3 linked regions of the Arabidopsis thaliana genome follow. The protein of the gene in region 2 interacts with the protein of the main gene of each other region in a pairwise test. Each region holds a gene or a part of one and is shown on either strand. Other genes may lie near its edges.

The links. Proteins that work in one complex are often made in the same cells at the same time.
Region 1: the proteins of AT5G22355 (region 2) and AT1G19680 interact in a two-hybrid assay, tested with the Arabidopsis thaliana proteins (one large-scale study listed by BioGRID).
Region 3: the proteins of AT5G22355 (region 2) and DGK3 interact in a two-hybrid assay, tested with the Arabidopsis thaliana proteins (one large-scale study listed by BioGRID).

Annotation. Positions count from the first base shown.
Region 1 is NC_003070.9:6,803,590-6,808,365, forward strand, and holds AT1G19680 (RING/U-box superfamily protein), read left to right. Parts: upstream 1-1,840; 5' UTR 1,841-2,054; intron 2,055-2,216; 5' UTR 2,217-2,319; coding exon 2,320-2,650; intron 2,651-2,916; coding exon 2,917-2,948; intron 2,949-3,029; coding exon 3,030-3,980; intron 3,981-4,072; coding exon 4,073-4,093; 3' UTR 4,094-4,273; downstream 4,274-4,776. Other genes in the region: CLH1 (chlorophyllase 1), read right to left, coding at 207-911, 1,065-1,334; AT1G19690 (NAD(P)-binding Rossmann-fold superfamily protein), read right to left, coding at 4,336-4,603, 4,689-4,776.
Region 2 is NC_003076.8:7,399,969-7,404,509, reverse strand, and holds AT5G22355 (Cysteine/Histidine-rich C1 domain family protein), read right to left. Parts: upstream 2,804-4,541; 5' UTR 2,749-2,803; coding exon 754-2,748; 3' UTR 538-753; downstream 1-537. Other genes in the region: VAMP714 (vesicle-associated membrane protein 714), read left to right, coding at 41-131; ELM1 (fission ELM1-like protein (DUF1022)), read left to right, coding at 3,764-3,949.
Region 3 is NC_003071.7:8,116,960-8,122,450, reverse strand, and holds DGK3 (diacylglycerol kinase 3), read right to left. Parts: upstream 3,716-5,491; 5' UTR 3,476-3,715; coding exon 3,116-3,475; intron 2,796-3,115; coding exon 2,673-2,795; intron 2,582-2,672; coding exon 2,444-2,581; intron 2,361-2,443; coding exon 2,275-2,360; intron 2,185-2,274; coding exon 2,097-2,184; intron 1,991-2,096; coding exon 1,915-1,990; intron 1,828-1,914; coding exon 1,745-1,827; intron 1,625-1,744; coding exon 1,554-1,624; intron 1,449-1,553; coding exon 1,371-1,448; intron 1,284-1,370; coding exon 1,196-1,283; intron 1,116-1,195; coding exon 999-1,115; intron 921-998; coding exon 762-920; 3' UTR 504-761; downstream 1-503. Other genes in the region: AT2G18721 (uncharacterized protein), read right to left, coding at 5,345-5,452.

The sequences.
Region 1 (4,776 bases), on a different chromosome or scaffold from region 2:
TTATATAGCTATTTAAATGTGTTTAGGTTTTAGTATAAGAAGAAGCTGTAAAGTTTTGGGGTAAAACTATAACAAATGTTTTGATCGAGTTTAATAAAAATACACATGCAACTTAGGACATGAACAATAGCTAGCTTGGAGCTAGAAAACATTGATAGGTTTTTCAAATATTCAAGACCCCTCTGATAATAGTACATAACACAAATCTAGACGAAGATACCAGAAGCTTCTTCCAACTCAGGTGAAGGATCAAGCTTGGCCGGAGAAACGGAAGGATCCTTCACAATCAATCGAATCTCCGCTTTTTCACCCCACAAACTATACTTGAGAAACGCAACCACAATTCCACCTACAAAGCTCCTCATCTCAGACTTTTTTCTTTGCCCATTCTTACACATACAACCGGCCATAAACCCAACAAAACCGGGCAAATCATCGTCCAACATATCCATATGTCCGTAATCCGCAGCCACGAAATGGGCTTTCGTCGCCTTACACTCTTTGTAAAACTCCTCATGGTTTAAGTCCGTTGGTGCGCATGGTGGCATCACGTTGTTCCACTTCGGTCCGAGTCCGGTTCCCACCACTGCAACCGGTATGTCCAGCTCGAAAGATTCCGGTTTATACGTTAAGATATGCGGATCGGTTCTAATGTATTTGTTAGTTCCTGCGACTGGATCAATTCCTATTAGAGCTGAAAACGTGATGGATGGGTCTAATGTTGCGGCATGGCCTAGCGCAACCGCAAACGCCGTTTTCCCACCGCGGCTGTGGCCCACGAGTGAGGTGTATTTTCCATTAGCATTTACCGAAGTTGGTAGGTGAGCTTTGAGGTTTTCCGATGCCCAGTTTATCACACTTCCAGCATCGTCCACTTCCACTTGCCCTCCCGGCGGCAATAATTTGCACAACTGTCATTCAAGAATATAAAATTAACTTATATCTTTTCACGTAACAATCAATCTCAATTAATGTACATTTTGTTTTACATGTTACATGTTACATACCGTAAGTTATCCTTTTAAATGATTCATAATTATTTTTTGTATAGTTAAATTATGTACCTGTGGGGCTACAAGAATGTAACCATGCGAAGCGATGTGGTTAAGAACGTCAGAGTAGAAGTAGTTGCGAAGATAAAAGCCATGGAAGAATAAAACGACGGGATAAGTTCCGGCGACTGTTGGACAGGTGATTCTCACCGGTTTTGGCGGTGCTGTTGAATCATTTTCCACCGGATCCACCGGTATCTCGGTTGTCGGGAGGCTGCCTATCTCAAAAGCCGCCGGAGTTACCACAGAGGAAAACGTTGGACTGTCCTCTATCGCCGCCATTTGTATTAAACTAGATAATTAAAGAGTTGTGTTGAAGATTTATGTATGAATCCTTCGAACTTTAGCTAGTTGTTTTGTATTTATAGGGGGAGAATGTTGATTTTTCTTATCCGATTCATTATAATTCTGTGGTTCTCTCGGCTTCTCATCGTAGTTATAACAAAATGAATTAAATACTTTCGAAAACGATAAATGCATGGGCTGCGTAAACAAAAGAGCATGTGTTGATTCAAATTATTACAAGTTAGTTGGTATACAATTACTCCATGCATTTATCATTTTCGGAGTACAATTTAATTCGTTTCCCGAAAACGATGTGTCCATAAACACATACCAAGACTTACTAAGTACTACTAAAAAATATAATCAAATTGCATTAGGAAACATATTGTTATGTTTGTTAAAAAAAACATTTTGTTATGTTTGTTCAGTAAAAAAAAAAAAAAAATTGTTATGTAAAAAAAAAAGAAACAAATTGACCAAAAAAGTAAAATTTGACCAAAAACAAATAGTAGCACAAGAAAAACAGAGAACAGAAAAAGAAGAGAGGAAGGGTGACGTGGCACAATTTCCCTGCGACGCACCCAACCTCCGTCTCTCTCTCTCTCAGATCGGCGGCCATCTCCGTCGAGTAATTGAAATCTCTCTCAGCCGTTGGATTCGAATTCCGCCGCATCTTCATATACCTCGTTTCAATCCTGCGGAACCCTAGTTGCTCTGGTGAGTCCCTGGTGAACCCCCGGATTTTAGAATCATCTATTGTATTTACTTTAATTCCGTTCCATTGATGATTTCTGCGTTAGATTTTGAGGTCTCTGCCTTCACCTCTATGTATTATAATGGCTCTGATTCGAAGTTCACATTCTGTTTGTTTATATGCAGAATTGTGGTTTGCTACTGTGATAAGTTCTTCAGTGGTAGATTAGGAAGCACCACCAATGGAGATTGTGTAAGACATATTCATTACAGCTCTCTTTTAAGGATTATGGGGTCTGTTTGCTGTGTGGCTGCAAAGGACAGAAATGTTCCCAGTGGAGCTATTGATAATTCAGTGTGTTCACCATCGTGGAGTTTTCGACGGGACAACAGGAGGCGTGTAGCTGATGAGATTAAAGATTCATCTAATCATAATGTTGGGAGTAGAGGTATTGACATCGATAAGTTGTCGTTAGGCTTAGAGAGAGGACCTCCGTCATCTGAAACTGGGGGTTTAGCTACTCTTGGCTCTCAGAAATCCGCAGACTCAGAGATGGGCACAGCTTCGATGGTTACAGCTCCTTTAGCGGGTACAAGTTTGGCGATTCGATCTCCTTCAGGTATGTTCGTTCAAACACTTTTTTTGTGGGGAAAGTGTAGAACTTTCAGTTTCATTGTTTGGGAATATACTGTTGAGTCGATTTTAGTTCCTTCGTGGATGTTCTTTTCCAGTCTACTCAATCCAGTCAAAGGGGTAACAACATTTATTTGGTAGGATTAGATCGAGAGACATTTCATTTTTTGGTAGAGATCATTTCAGCTTTATTTTCTTACTGTAATGAAGGATTTTTTTCCTGTCTCTCATGCATCTATTTTCTCTGGGCAGATGTATCCTTGGCAAGTCCTGTTCGTGTTGAGGTGAGATCATTACTTACTCCAATCAGAGTCTCTTTTCGTCCCTTCAGAGTCTCTTAACCCTCTCGTCTTTTAATTCTTCAGGTGAAGAATATAGTTGACTCATCAGATATTGTTTCATCAGTTTTACCAAATCCGTCAAGTTCCACCTCGGTCTCTGATCTTCCTTCAGCTCACACACATTCACTTCCTCCCAGATCAACTCCGTCTAGACGTGCTCGAGGTTCACCTGGGCAGCAGTTGTTTAGGCAGGTTTCTGATAGTCAAACTTTGGGATTGAAATCTCCCAATAATTACTCAACATCTGAAGGAAGGTCGTCCTTTGTGCTTTCGACCTGTAGTAATGACACTGCCACTGGGTCCCATTTTGCTTCTTCTGAAGGTGGCTGGTCCATAAACGCCTTTTGTGAGCTCGTGGCTCAGTCTCAAAGGGAGAGATGGTCTTTTGATAATGAGCACTTAGGTTCCGGACGACGAAGACTAAGTGGGTGTAGTAGTAGCAGATTCTCATGCTCCCCTTCTGTTGATCAGCAGACTTGTGGGCGTTGCTCAAAGCTTTTAACTGAAAGGTCTCCAGTTGCCAGGTTTGACCTTCCAATTCCTGCTGTTCTAGCGTGCGGCCATGTTTACCATGCGGCATGCTTAGAGACAATGACAAATGAAACAGAGAAGTATGATCCTACGTGTCCCATATGCACAGAGACACAGGTTACTAAATTATCGAGGAAAGCTCTAAAAGCCGAGGCAGAATTGAAGGCAACGAGTTACAAAAGGTGTAAGAACCGTGTGGTAGATAGTTATGTCCGCAGTGAATGTGAGGATCTTATGTTCCAGAATCTAGGGAAACGAGAAGGAAAAGGTCTGAAGATGGATCCTAGTTCGAATACCAAAGGCTCCACGTCTAAGTCTTTTATGAAATGGCACTTCGGTTCCGTCAGCACCAAGTGGAGTAAAGCCAGGGATTCTACCTCGAAGAAGAGCTTTTGGTCCAGACATAGTAATAAAAGATTAAGTCATTCTTTTTCAAGCGTTGAGGTAAAATATCCATACGAGACTCAATATGTTCACTTTCCATCTAAACAAAGTTAAGTTTCTCAACTGCTAACACTTCTTTTTCCGCATTTCAGGGCCTTAATCAGGCAACATGACATAAAATAGGACTGGCTTTGGATTAGAGAAAAGCTCCCTTAAACATTTTGTATCCCTTTTTACTTTTATTCCATGTTTAAATGTCACATGGGGAAAATATGTGTACCAATGAAACAAACTTGTCATTTTGTAGAATGCAGAAGAAACAAAAAAGGATAAACTAAAAATCTATCTTTACTAAAGAGTCCCTAATTCTCCACAGGAAAGATTCAGATCAGCGGAATTTAGTCCTGTGGTGTGCTCAAAAACGGTTGTCCATGTTCTCGACTATGCTTTGCAGTCCTGACTTATACGAAGGATATAACAATTTCACTCCTAGTTTATCCTTCATGCGTTCGTTGCAGACTCGTTTCTCGCCTCTCAATGAACTTTCCTCCCGAGATTCATACAGAAATGGAAATGGTTTTGTGGTGATATTCCCCGGCCAACGTTTCTCGATCAACTCCAAGGCATATTCAAACACCTCTTCTCTTGCTGCCGGATCATCATCAACAATATTGTAGATCTCCCTGCCAAAATGGTTGATTCATCCGTCTCAATGGTTCAATCATCCATCACAAAAGAATGATCATAGATGAAGAGGGATACACAAACCCTGATGCTGGCTTTTCAGTGGCAGCTTTAAGAACTTGGCATATATCTTCAACATGAACTCTCGACGTGAATTTACGGGACGCTCTTC
Region 2 (4,541 bases):
ATTAATCAACAAAACTGCTTTTCTTGTTTGTGTTCGGCAGGGTCTTGTTGACATGCTTGATAGTTTTCTTGCTGTACATAATAATCGCATCTTTCTGCGGAGGAATCACTTTACCATCATGCAGATCTTAAAATCTGGCGGCCTTATCTAAGGTATACTGAAACGGACCACTGTTTTTGTAAATCAACTCAGTCGCATCATTTCGATTTGAAGCCTTGGTTTTGTCATGAAAATGACTGTGAGTTTGAAGTTACATGTCATGGTCCTCCTTGCTTATGTAACTCTTGTAAATGTCAAAATCAAAATGATACAGAGGTTCATTGAACTCTTGCCTTGTCTTTTAGATTTAGTCACGTGAGTGAGTTTGTTCTCTGTATTTCCAAAACTTTATCCGCTGTGTCTTTATAATTTTTGCATTTGCAATGTACATCACATATTCGTTATTTTTGTTGTTAAAATTACTTCAGTTTTCATCTTTGTTTAATAACATTTCTGATTCACAAATATCTGTTTCCATCATTTCTGTCTATGTTTTCATTAACTAAATCATATTAGTTGCTACTACCTTTTTAGCAAGTTTGTCATAACTTGTTACGACTTTATATATGTCATCGATACAGTTTAATCCTGCCTGTACTGATGAACACAGTATGAATATAACCAGAATGCTTAGCACTTGTAGTTGGAAATAAACTCTTACATCCAAAAAATTACGAGAAACAATAGAGTGAAATAAACAGCTACATAGTTGTCTTAGCTGTATTGATAGTCGGGCACTACACATGCATCGGAACAAATGTATCCAGTATATGGATCACAAAGCTTTAGAATGATAGGAGCTCTGCATCTGGAGTGACATTTTGCACAGAAGGGGCGAGAACTATAGCTGTTAAGAACCACTTCAACTCTAACATTATTGTAGTTGATGATGCGTCCTGGCATGAGACGTGAAAAGTCTCCAAGCACACATTCAATATGTGCAGTAACCACACATTTAGAGCAAGTGTAGAACCACTTACTTGGATCTGTTTCCGCCTCGCAAATATCACACCAATATTTTCCGGTTGCATTTTCGCCATAGCATAGGGAAAGAGGATGATTGTCGCAGCTGTGCTTTACCGTTTTTGGTAAATCAGTACAGTGTAAATCCAGATCAAAGTCACAAGTGTCACAGGAAAGCAGATAACCATCTATCTCTTTATAACATGCATCACAACAGTGATCTTTCTTATGTTCGTAATATAGAGGATGTCTGTGACCATCATGAATGACCGGTTCAGAACGCGAACCACAACGTACATCTAGAACCCACCAATCAGAAACGTACCTGAAACCAGTAGACTTCGTTCTACAAGCATAGCAGCGAAAGACATCGTAGAATCTAAAATCTTTGCTATGGAATGTACGAGGTGGTCTGGACCATAGTGTGAATGGTTTTGTGTGGAATACATGTCGTTTCTTTTTTGGATGATTAGCGCATTTCTCATGGAGAATGAAACGACATTCCTCACAGTTGTAGATCGGATCGGAATAGATAGGAAGGACGCATGCTTCACAACGTGAGCCTTCGTCACGATTGATATTGTCCTTGTTGAGTCTTAGATTATGTTCTTCATGACTGAAATGCTTGATCAAGTTATCACCCACCACTTTGAACGGCACAATATCTTCGTCATCATCATCTGGTGTCCCTTCGAGTTCTACCCCATCCCATACGTCTTTTCTTGTTGCACATAGTGAATGAGCTGCATAGTTCGGGCAACGAGGGCATAAATAAGCCCCATGGTATTGACTTATATCTTTGCGACAAATACCGCATCTCGAGTACCCAACACCGAGATGATGGGTGAAAGAGATGCGATGATCGTGACGGTTGATGTTTATGACACGTGGTAAGTCAATACAAGTTCTATGGACAACAAACCCGCATTGAACACACATGTAAGGACTTCGATCACCTTGCATCCCACAAGCATTACATTCAAATGAGATGAGTCTTGATAAGAGGACAAGTCGATGCTCGTGCGTCTTATGATGCTCGATAGCAAGTGGTGGTGGATCTTTTGTACAGAATCGACATACGCTGAAGTTGCATATCGAGCAGCGATAAAGCACTTTGTCTGGTCGTTCTCCACATAAAAGACATGTCTCTTCAGCATCACTTGTTAGTGATTCATATTCAAGTAACTTGAGAGAATGTTGAGGATGAGAAGGATGATTCACCTCTTGGGAAAGATTGACACACTCGACATGAAAGTGGACTTCACATTCAAGACATGCATAAGAACATCCACCATTATAGCCCTTGCAAATTCCGCATCTGCGCCTACCCGGCTTTGCGGGTTCTTTCAAGAAGATAACTGGATGATGATGAGACTTTGGATGTTCGATAGAAACCGGCAATGGATTTATCCCACAAGTGAGATCCACGATGAAGTCACATTTTGATGAACAACGATAACCAAAAGCGAAAAAAGTCTTGCCACATAGATTACATTTACATGGGTTCCTTAGAGAATTGTGGAGTTTAAGAGTGTGTTGAGGATGAGAAGGATGGTTGATAATCTCCGGTGGAGCCTCTGCGCACTCTTTGTGGAAGAACAAACTAGTAGAGGAAGGCTCGTTGCAACGGTAGCCGCCATAGATGGGACCTTTTATATTGCAACCTTTACAAGAATCATTAACAAAACGAGTCGAAATGGTCAAAGGATATTTGTGAGTTGGTAGTATTTTGGGTGGTAGATCCATTTTGTGATTCAAATGCGGTTTGTTTTCTGGAGATCTCAAGATAATACTACATCATATGAATGCATCTTTGTAACCCCAATATAACAAAGACACGTAATGTGTGAACACCTTAACGATTCTTGTCTCCAATGAATCATGTGCAATCGATCCTGTTTTCCACGAGATGATTATAATATATAGTTGAATTATTTCATATTCCTAACTGTTTACAACCTGCACACATTAAATTATCTTATCATCGTTATAGCTACCTATGAATATAATAGTATGAAAATACCCAATAAATTAATTTCCTAAACTCAACATCTAACGTGTTAACAACAGCTAAGATATATAATTATATTGAATCATTTCTGCAATTTCATATTCTCTATCGTGACACTCGGAGTCTTGAGATCGCTAGATTTCTTTGAATACTATGATTGGTAAAGTCGTGTGTAAAAAAGTTAGACCGAGACAAAACGAGGCACAGGAAGAACAATAACAGTTGGGCTTTTTCCAGATAAGGCTTCACCTTTTAACAATCAAATTCTACATATTGGGCCTACGAAGAGGTTCATAAGATTTGAATAGACAATTAGAAAAACAGCAATTATGTGACAAATAGTGTTTTATTCTAATTTTGGATGACTATCGGTGAAATTTTAATTTTAATCATCATATAACAAAACAAAATTCCAAAACTTCAAATTCTAAAATCAAAATTTTTAAAATACCATACAATTTCTTTTTTTTTAAACAATTGTATGTTTTGTATTGACAAAATTAGTTTTATTGATTAGCAAAAAATTCGTTTAAGACCTTAAATTTGTCCTTTGTTAATTGTTATACCAAATTTTAGCGTAAAGACAATCTCTTGAAGGAGAAAAGGAAAACAATCTCTCTTTCTGTGACCTTTCGCAACTTGTCAAAGCACCACGACCTTCTCTCTACGGAGTTGAGATCAATCCCCCCAAATCTCGGTGTGGTTCCTCTAGGGTTTTTGATCGGAATCGGAATCGATAATCTAACCGGCATGAGGCCAATCCTATTGCCGGATCCACCCAGTCTATCTACCGGCGTCCCTGATATTTTCGAACAAGGCGGTTCCCATAACGTCGTCAGACGCGCCGTCGTCATCGGAAACGGTTTCCCTGGCTCCGAGAATCAGTGTATCGGTCTCGTTCGTGCGCTCGGCTTATCTGATAATCACCTTCTCTACGTGAGTTTCTTTGATCTAGGCTCTAGACGTTTTTAGCATCTGCTTAGTGCTTTCATTTCGTCGACTATAAACCATTGATACTATACTCGAAATTCTCGTCAGTTTTTGCTAGGCGCATGATGTAGTTGAGAGATTGATGATTGCTTTTGGATAGGAGTTTCTTTTACTTTGTTGTTTCGTCGTGTGTTCTAGGTTTTTAGCTTGTTAGGTCTCAGTCTAAGTAGGAGTGGAAATTTCATATTGTTTAGTACTTCTTTAGAGTGTATGAATGTTCAGAGAAGGAGGAACTATTTGAATTTTTATGGAAACAATGAATTGGTAAATATGTAAATTTGCCAATATCTCAAGTTCTGCAAATTTAGGGTAAACAGTGGAAGGTTCTTGGGGTGTCATAACTACCTATATTGTCAGTTTTATTTATAATTTTTTTTGGTAAATCTTAAAGAGAATTGAATCATTGGTGGAGCATGATGCTGGTGCAATTACTGAATTTCGTTTACAAGGAACACTGGTAGTGGAGTCTTTAATGCTTCTTTTAGATCAGTTTGGATGCATATAAGGCTGTTTTGCTGTGTCTGGTTTCTCTAGCTTC
Region 3 (5,491 bases), on a different chromosome or scaffold from region 2:
CAGATCTGACGATTCTGCATGCCATAAAGCTTCATCATCAAACCTTTGAAGTAACAAAACAAAAACAAAGATGACCAACGCTGTTAGTGTAAGCCCAACGCTGCCGTACGGAAGCTGGCCAACGTCGCTAAGTTAGCCAACGATGCCATACAAAAAGCCAACCATCTCCACTAACGTAGCTAGAAGATGTCGGACGAAAGCCCGAATTAAACGGGACGGCGACTCACCGGAAAACTATCCGGTTAACAAAAACAAAAGAAATTTCAGTTTCTATCTTTACAAACTACGAGAGAGCGAAGAGAGAAAAACTTTTTTGTGTGGTTTATTAACTTAGGTTTTTAATTTTTTATTATTCTGGTAAAAATATACGACTAATAATGATAATTATTAAAAATATTCTTACTTAGAAATTGGTGTCGATGATAAATTGGTTCTCAGTCGAACTAGTGTTAAAATAAATAAAAATATGACAAAGAATCACATCTATGTGCTCAATGCTAGAATTACAAAGATTGAAGAGAGATTGAAATTTGACCAAATATTATCTTCCCACATTCTTATAAATAAACAAACTTCATTCCTCACAACACAAAAATGTACAAAACCAACAATAAGCAGAAATTAAAAAGAGAAAAATGGTCACAATCTCAGATTTAAAAGAAAAGAAGACTAAAAAGCTTAGGCTATATCTATGACTAACTGAATCAAATCCAAATACAAAACAATTAGCTTTGTACAAAGAATCCAGCTTTGAATCTCAATCATTCATTATTTATCATCAGAGATTGATAAGGAACCTTCTTGATCTCCACAAATGTTGAGTACTCAGTGCTCATTGGTTGCTTCCATGGCTCACCATCCATTTGCAAGAATGCGTCTCTCCAGTCACCTCCTCTTAGCTCAAATCTTACCGCAGCAGCCTGAAATGATCACCAAAATGAAACAGTCAAACACATGGCTAAAAAGATTATACATTGACCAGTGTCTTTTGAAGTTACCTGAGCTATGTGCTTGGCAGAGATGAGCTCAGCCATGACAAATGACGCGTGCCATCCTTGCTTAAAACCGAAAATCTCTATCAAACCATCATCACAATGTGCTTCCACAAAGCCTCTCTGAGAAAAACCAAAGAAAACATTCGGGTTAACATCAGAGAACTGAGTTCATATATGATGAAATGGAACAGAAACAATACCTTCTCTAGATAGTCCGGTTTTAGATTGCCCCAAGGATGGCTTCCACTTCCATAGCTGTGAAGATTCAATGCGACAATTGATCTCACACTACAAGAGAAATCCATAGCATCAGGTTTTAAGCATTGATATCAAAGATTGTAATACATAAATCATATATCGAAAACTGTTTTTTACTTTTTCGGGACTGCGATCTCTTCCCACTGAGAGCAGTTAACCTTTTTGATGTGAATTTTCATTATGTTCCTAAGTCCCCTGCAAATTCATATAGCACAAACAAGGGGTCAACAACACAACAAAGGGCTTAAGCAGAGACTTACACACAAGTTCAACTACACAATAAGAGTCGAAATGGCGAACCTTAAACCTGGATCGTTGACACAAGGCGTGCAAAACCAACCCTGACTGCAACCAAAACTTGAATATATAATCTGCAAAAGCAAACATTGTGTGGTTGGTAATGTCGTTTCTCAAAACCAACATAACTACTTTAGCTTTTAACAAAGACAAATAATGAGTCCAAAGTTTAGGTGCAAATATAATAAACAAACCTTATTTGAAATAGGGCCTTGAGCAAGATATGGTTTAGTGTTGCGAAGATGGTGGAAGCCATATGCAACTTGAGCATCCATACCTAAACAAACCAGACAAACACAAGAATCTGGTCAGAAAAACAATTGTGAAAATTGTTTAGGATATCAAAAAGAGAAGTTCAACAAACCTATGCTTAAGTAATTGTAGAAAACACCTTCATAAGCCTTTGCAAGTGGAGGCGCATCAATTCCCGCGTCCAAACCCTGAAACCACCATAAAGCCTGGTTAATTACTAAACCGTGGCAATTTACAAAATCACATGCTGATGATTCAATGAGAAGAAGCAAGCCTAATGAAATAGAGCAAAACCTGATCAAGTTCGTTTTCTTCAGCGGGTTTTAAAGAATAAGGAGGATCTACGACTTCTCCAGATGGCATTGACACTAAAATCTTCCAGCTGCAACACCACATAACCAAAGCGCATACATTTTTACAACAAGAGAAATACAATAAAAGCTAAATGTTTTGAGCAAAATAAGACTTTTACCTGTCAAGTCTAGCAACTGGACCCATACTTGCGCGATGGAGTGTTCTTTTAACAGCAGATCTCCACGCAAAAGGAAACGAACCACCCTGAAGAAGAGATACCATAGTCAGTACCAATTCAAAAGTTTTGTCACGACAACATAAGAGAGAACAAAGAAAACACAACTCACCCAACCAAAACTCCTTGAAAGATCATTCCCTGTACCGAGAGGAATAACTCCAACAGGAGGAATTTGCGACTTTCCATCTTTATTAAGCTCTCCAAGACATCCAAGAACCCAACCAACAGTACCATCACCTCCTGCAACCTATCCAACCAATTCCATTCACAATTCTGATTGCTAAAAACATTCAAGTGGATCTATAGAGATTGGAGAAAAATATGGTCAATACACTCACCATAATCCTCAACCTTGCTCTGCATTCTTTTGCACATTCATCTCCTTCCGCTGCCACTTTCTCCAAACACCCCAACCCGTATCGAACAAACTCATGCGGCTTCACTTCCGTGAGGTCAAACACCTGTATCAACACAAAAGTCACCATGAAGTTTCAATATCAAAAGCTCAAACCAATAACTTGACAACATCAACATCACTCAGCTTTCCAAAAGACTCAATCTTTAAACGTAACTCATCCTTCAAAGTTCCAACAAAACACTAGATCTAACATCAGCTAAGCATAAACATATAAATCAAGCATTAAAAACTTAAAAGCCAGAGACTTTAAGAAAGTTTCCAAACTAACATAATCAAAACACAAAGTAGATACAAATTAGATTCGAAATTCCCCCAAAAACCCAAAGAAAAAGATTTGAAATACAAGTTCAGTGAGAGCAAAACCTGTTCCTCGCTCATCAACTGTTGAAGCCTCTCTTTAAGAACAGGACCATGACGACCACCAGAATTGGGGTTAATGAAAACAACCATAGGAGCATGAGGAGCCATATCAGCAACAGCACCACCAGGAAGAAGTAAATGATCAGGAATAGCCGAGGAATCTTTGCGTTTGATACAGTCACGCATAGCGAGACGAAGATACTCAGGCATCATCAACCTCTGACGAAGCTCTACTTTATCTACACCAACCCATGCCAGATTCGCGAGTCCACAACCTCTCATCGTCTTTGAATCAGCCGTTGATGGTCGTGAAGCCACGAATTTCTCTTTCGATGCATCGGTTTTTGATACCGGAGAGTCCATTGTAGTCTCTCGCCGGAGAAGAAAAGACAAAAAGATGATTACTTTTCGTCCTGTGATTGGAGAAAATGAGGAATATTCGAAACCCAGATAATCAAAATTGGAGTTGAAATGAAAAATAATAAAGGATTGTTTTTTTTTAATCTTTCTTCTTCTTCTTTGCTGAGAGATTTCAAATCAACCAATATAAAATCTTCTTTTGACAGTTTGTATTTTCTTGTCTGTTTTGTCTTTTTTATAAATGATTTAGTTTCGAAGACAGCGCACAAAACGTGTGAATTAATTTGCTTATATTGAAAAAAAAAGAATTTACACGGTTGGATTTCAATGTGACGTCATAAAAATGCCACTCTTTAGATCTTTGATTCTTTTTCTTTTTTTATTGTTTGACATTTATGAAAGCGACTGATAAATGTTTATTTTGTAAAAGTTCTAATTTAGAATAATTTTGATTATTAATAATATTAAACTACTAAGATTTGTATAGTTTAATACCATTATCTTCTGTAACTAAGATTTGTAGATCTTTTGTTTCTGTAAGATCAAATTTACAATTTAAAGTGTACAAAATCTTACAATACTAATGATGGCATAAAGAGATTAACAATGAGATTTTTTAACGTTATTGTTATATCAAGAAAACCAGAGAAAATTAATTAGTAATTGATTGATACATTGTAAGAATAGGATCTAATGATATTTTAATATTCAAAAAGGTTCCATTATAGAGGTTACATCTGGTGAATATGATTGAATACAATTTGATATAGAGAATTAGAGATACTTGCATTATTATTTGCTTCCTATTATTATTTGACTGCATTATTGGTTTCTTTTTCTATGTAAAAAATATTTTCAACTCTCCAACAAAGAAACAAAATTCTCTGACATTTTGCTTAGAAAGAGTGGCGTTTTCGTCATTAAACAAAGGAATAGTTTTGGTGGTAACGTAAATTGTAAAAAAACAGCGAAGGAGACAATAGAAAATGAGAGCAGACATTGAAGTTAGTGGATTTTCCACAGAATGGGGCCTACAATGTTATTGCCCACTCAGAGAAATAGGGTCACTGAAAGTGATAGCTACTTCCCATTGCTGGGATCGTTGTGTACTTTTTCTAACCTAAATTTCCCTCAATGCCTTTTTCTTAACTTATAGAATTGGTCGAAACTTGAAAGTATATACAAATGCCACAGAAAAAAACATCATTTAATACCTTCTTAATTGCACGATATGATATCAGATGTTTTGTAACCAAGAATTGGTCCATGTAAACAATTTATTATGTGGCAGAGGAAGACTCAAATTCAGGTGGCTGATAAAAAGTGGGGTTTAAGATATTTCTTGAACTGGAAGACAATGAGCGTGTGTTCTCATTAGTATTACAAATCATATTTACATTATTATAAAGCGGAACATATTTACATTATACTCCAAATGATGTAACTATAAAATTTGATCTAACAATATATATCGTTAAGAAAAATAACCTAAATTTATCACAGCTTATTCATTTACACTCCTATAGAATCATAGATTTCCTACTCTTTTTTTTTTGTCATCATATAAACATATACTACTTTTTGTTCAAGGATCAATGTTTCTTAGTTTGGTGAAAGATAGAAGTAAACTGGAGTGGGCCAATGGTTAGGCGTGTAAGCCCAAACTTTGGAACGATTTTAGCCCATCTCAAAAGGAGCGTGCTATATTTTGTAAATGAAATTGCAAAATTACCTAACACAAATTTTCCTATAAAAAAACATTTCGGGTAAGAAACCGACAATTATAAAATAAAAATTGTAAGACATGTTTTATTGACACATGGAAAAATGAAGTTGGCGAAAAAGACAAACAGTAAACGTTAAGATAAAACCCTACCTATAAATATACCTTACACGCCACCTGACTTTATCAAAACCAAAAACACAAACCTTCAACGGCACGCTTTCTCCTCTGAAATCTCTGCGAGCAAACTTCTTCATCTACCTCTTACCGTACTTCAGGTTTGTGTAAATCATTTT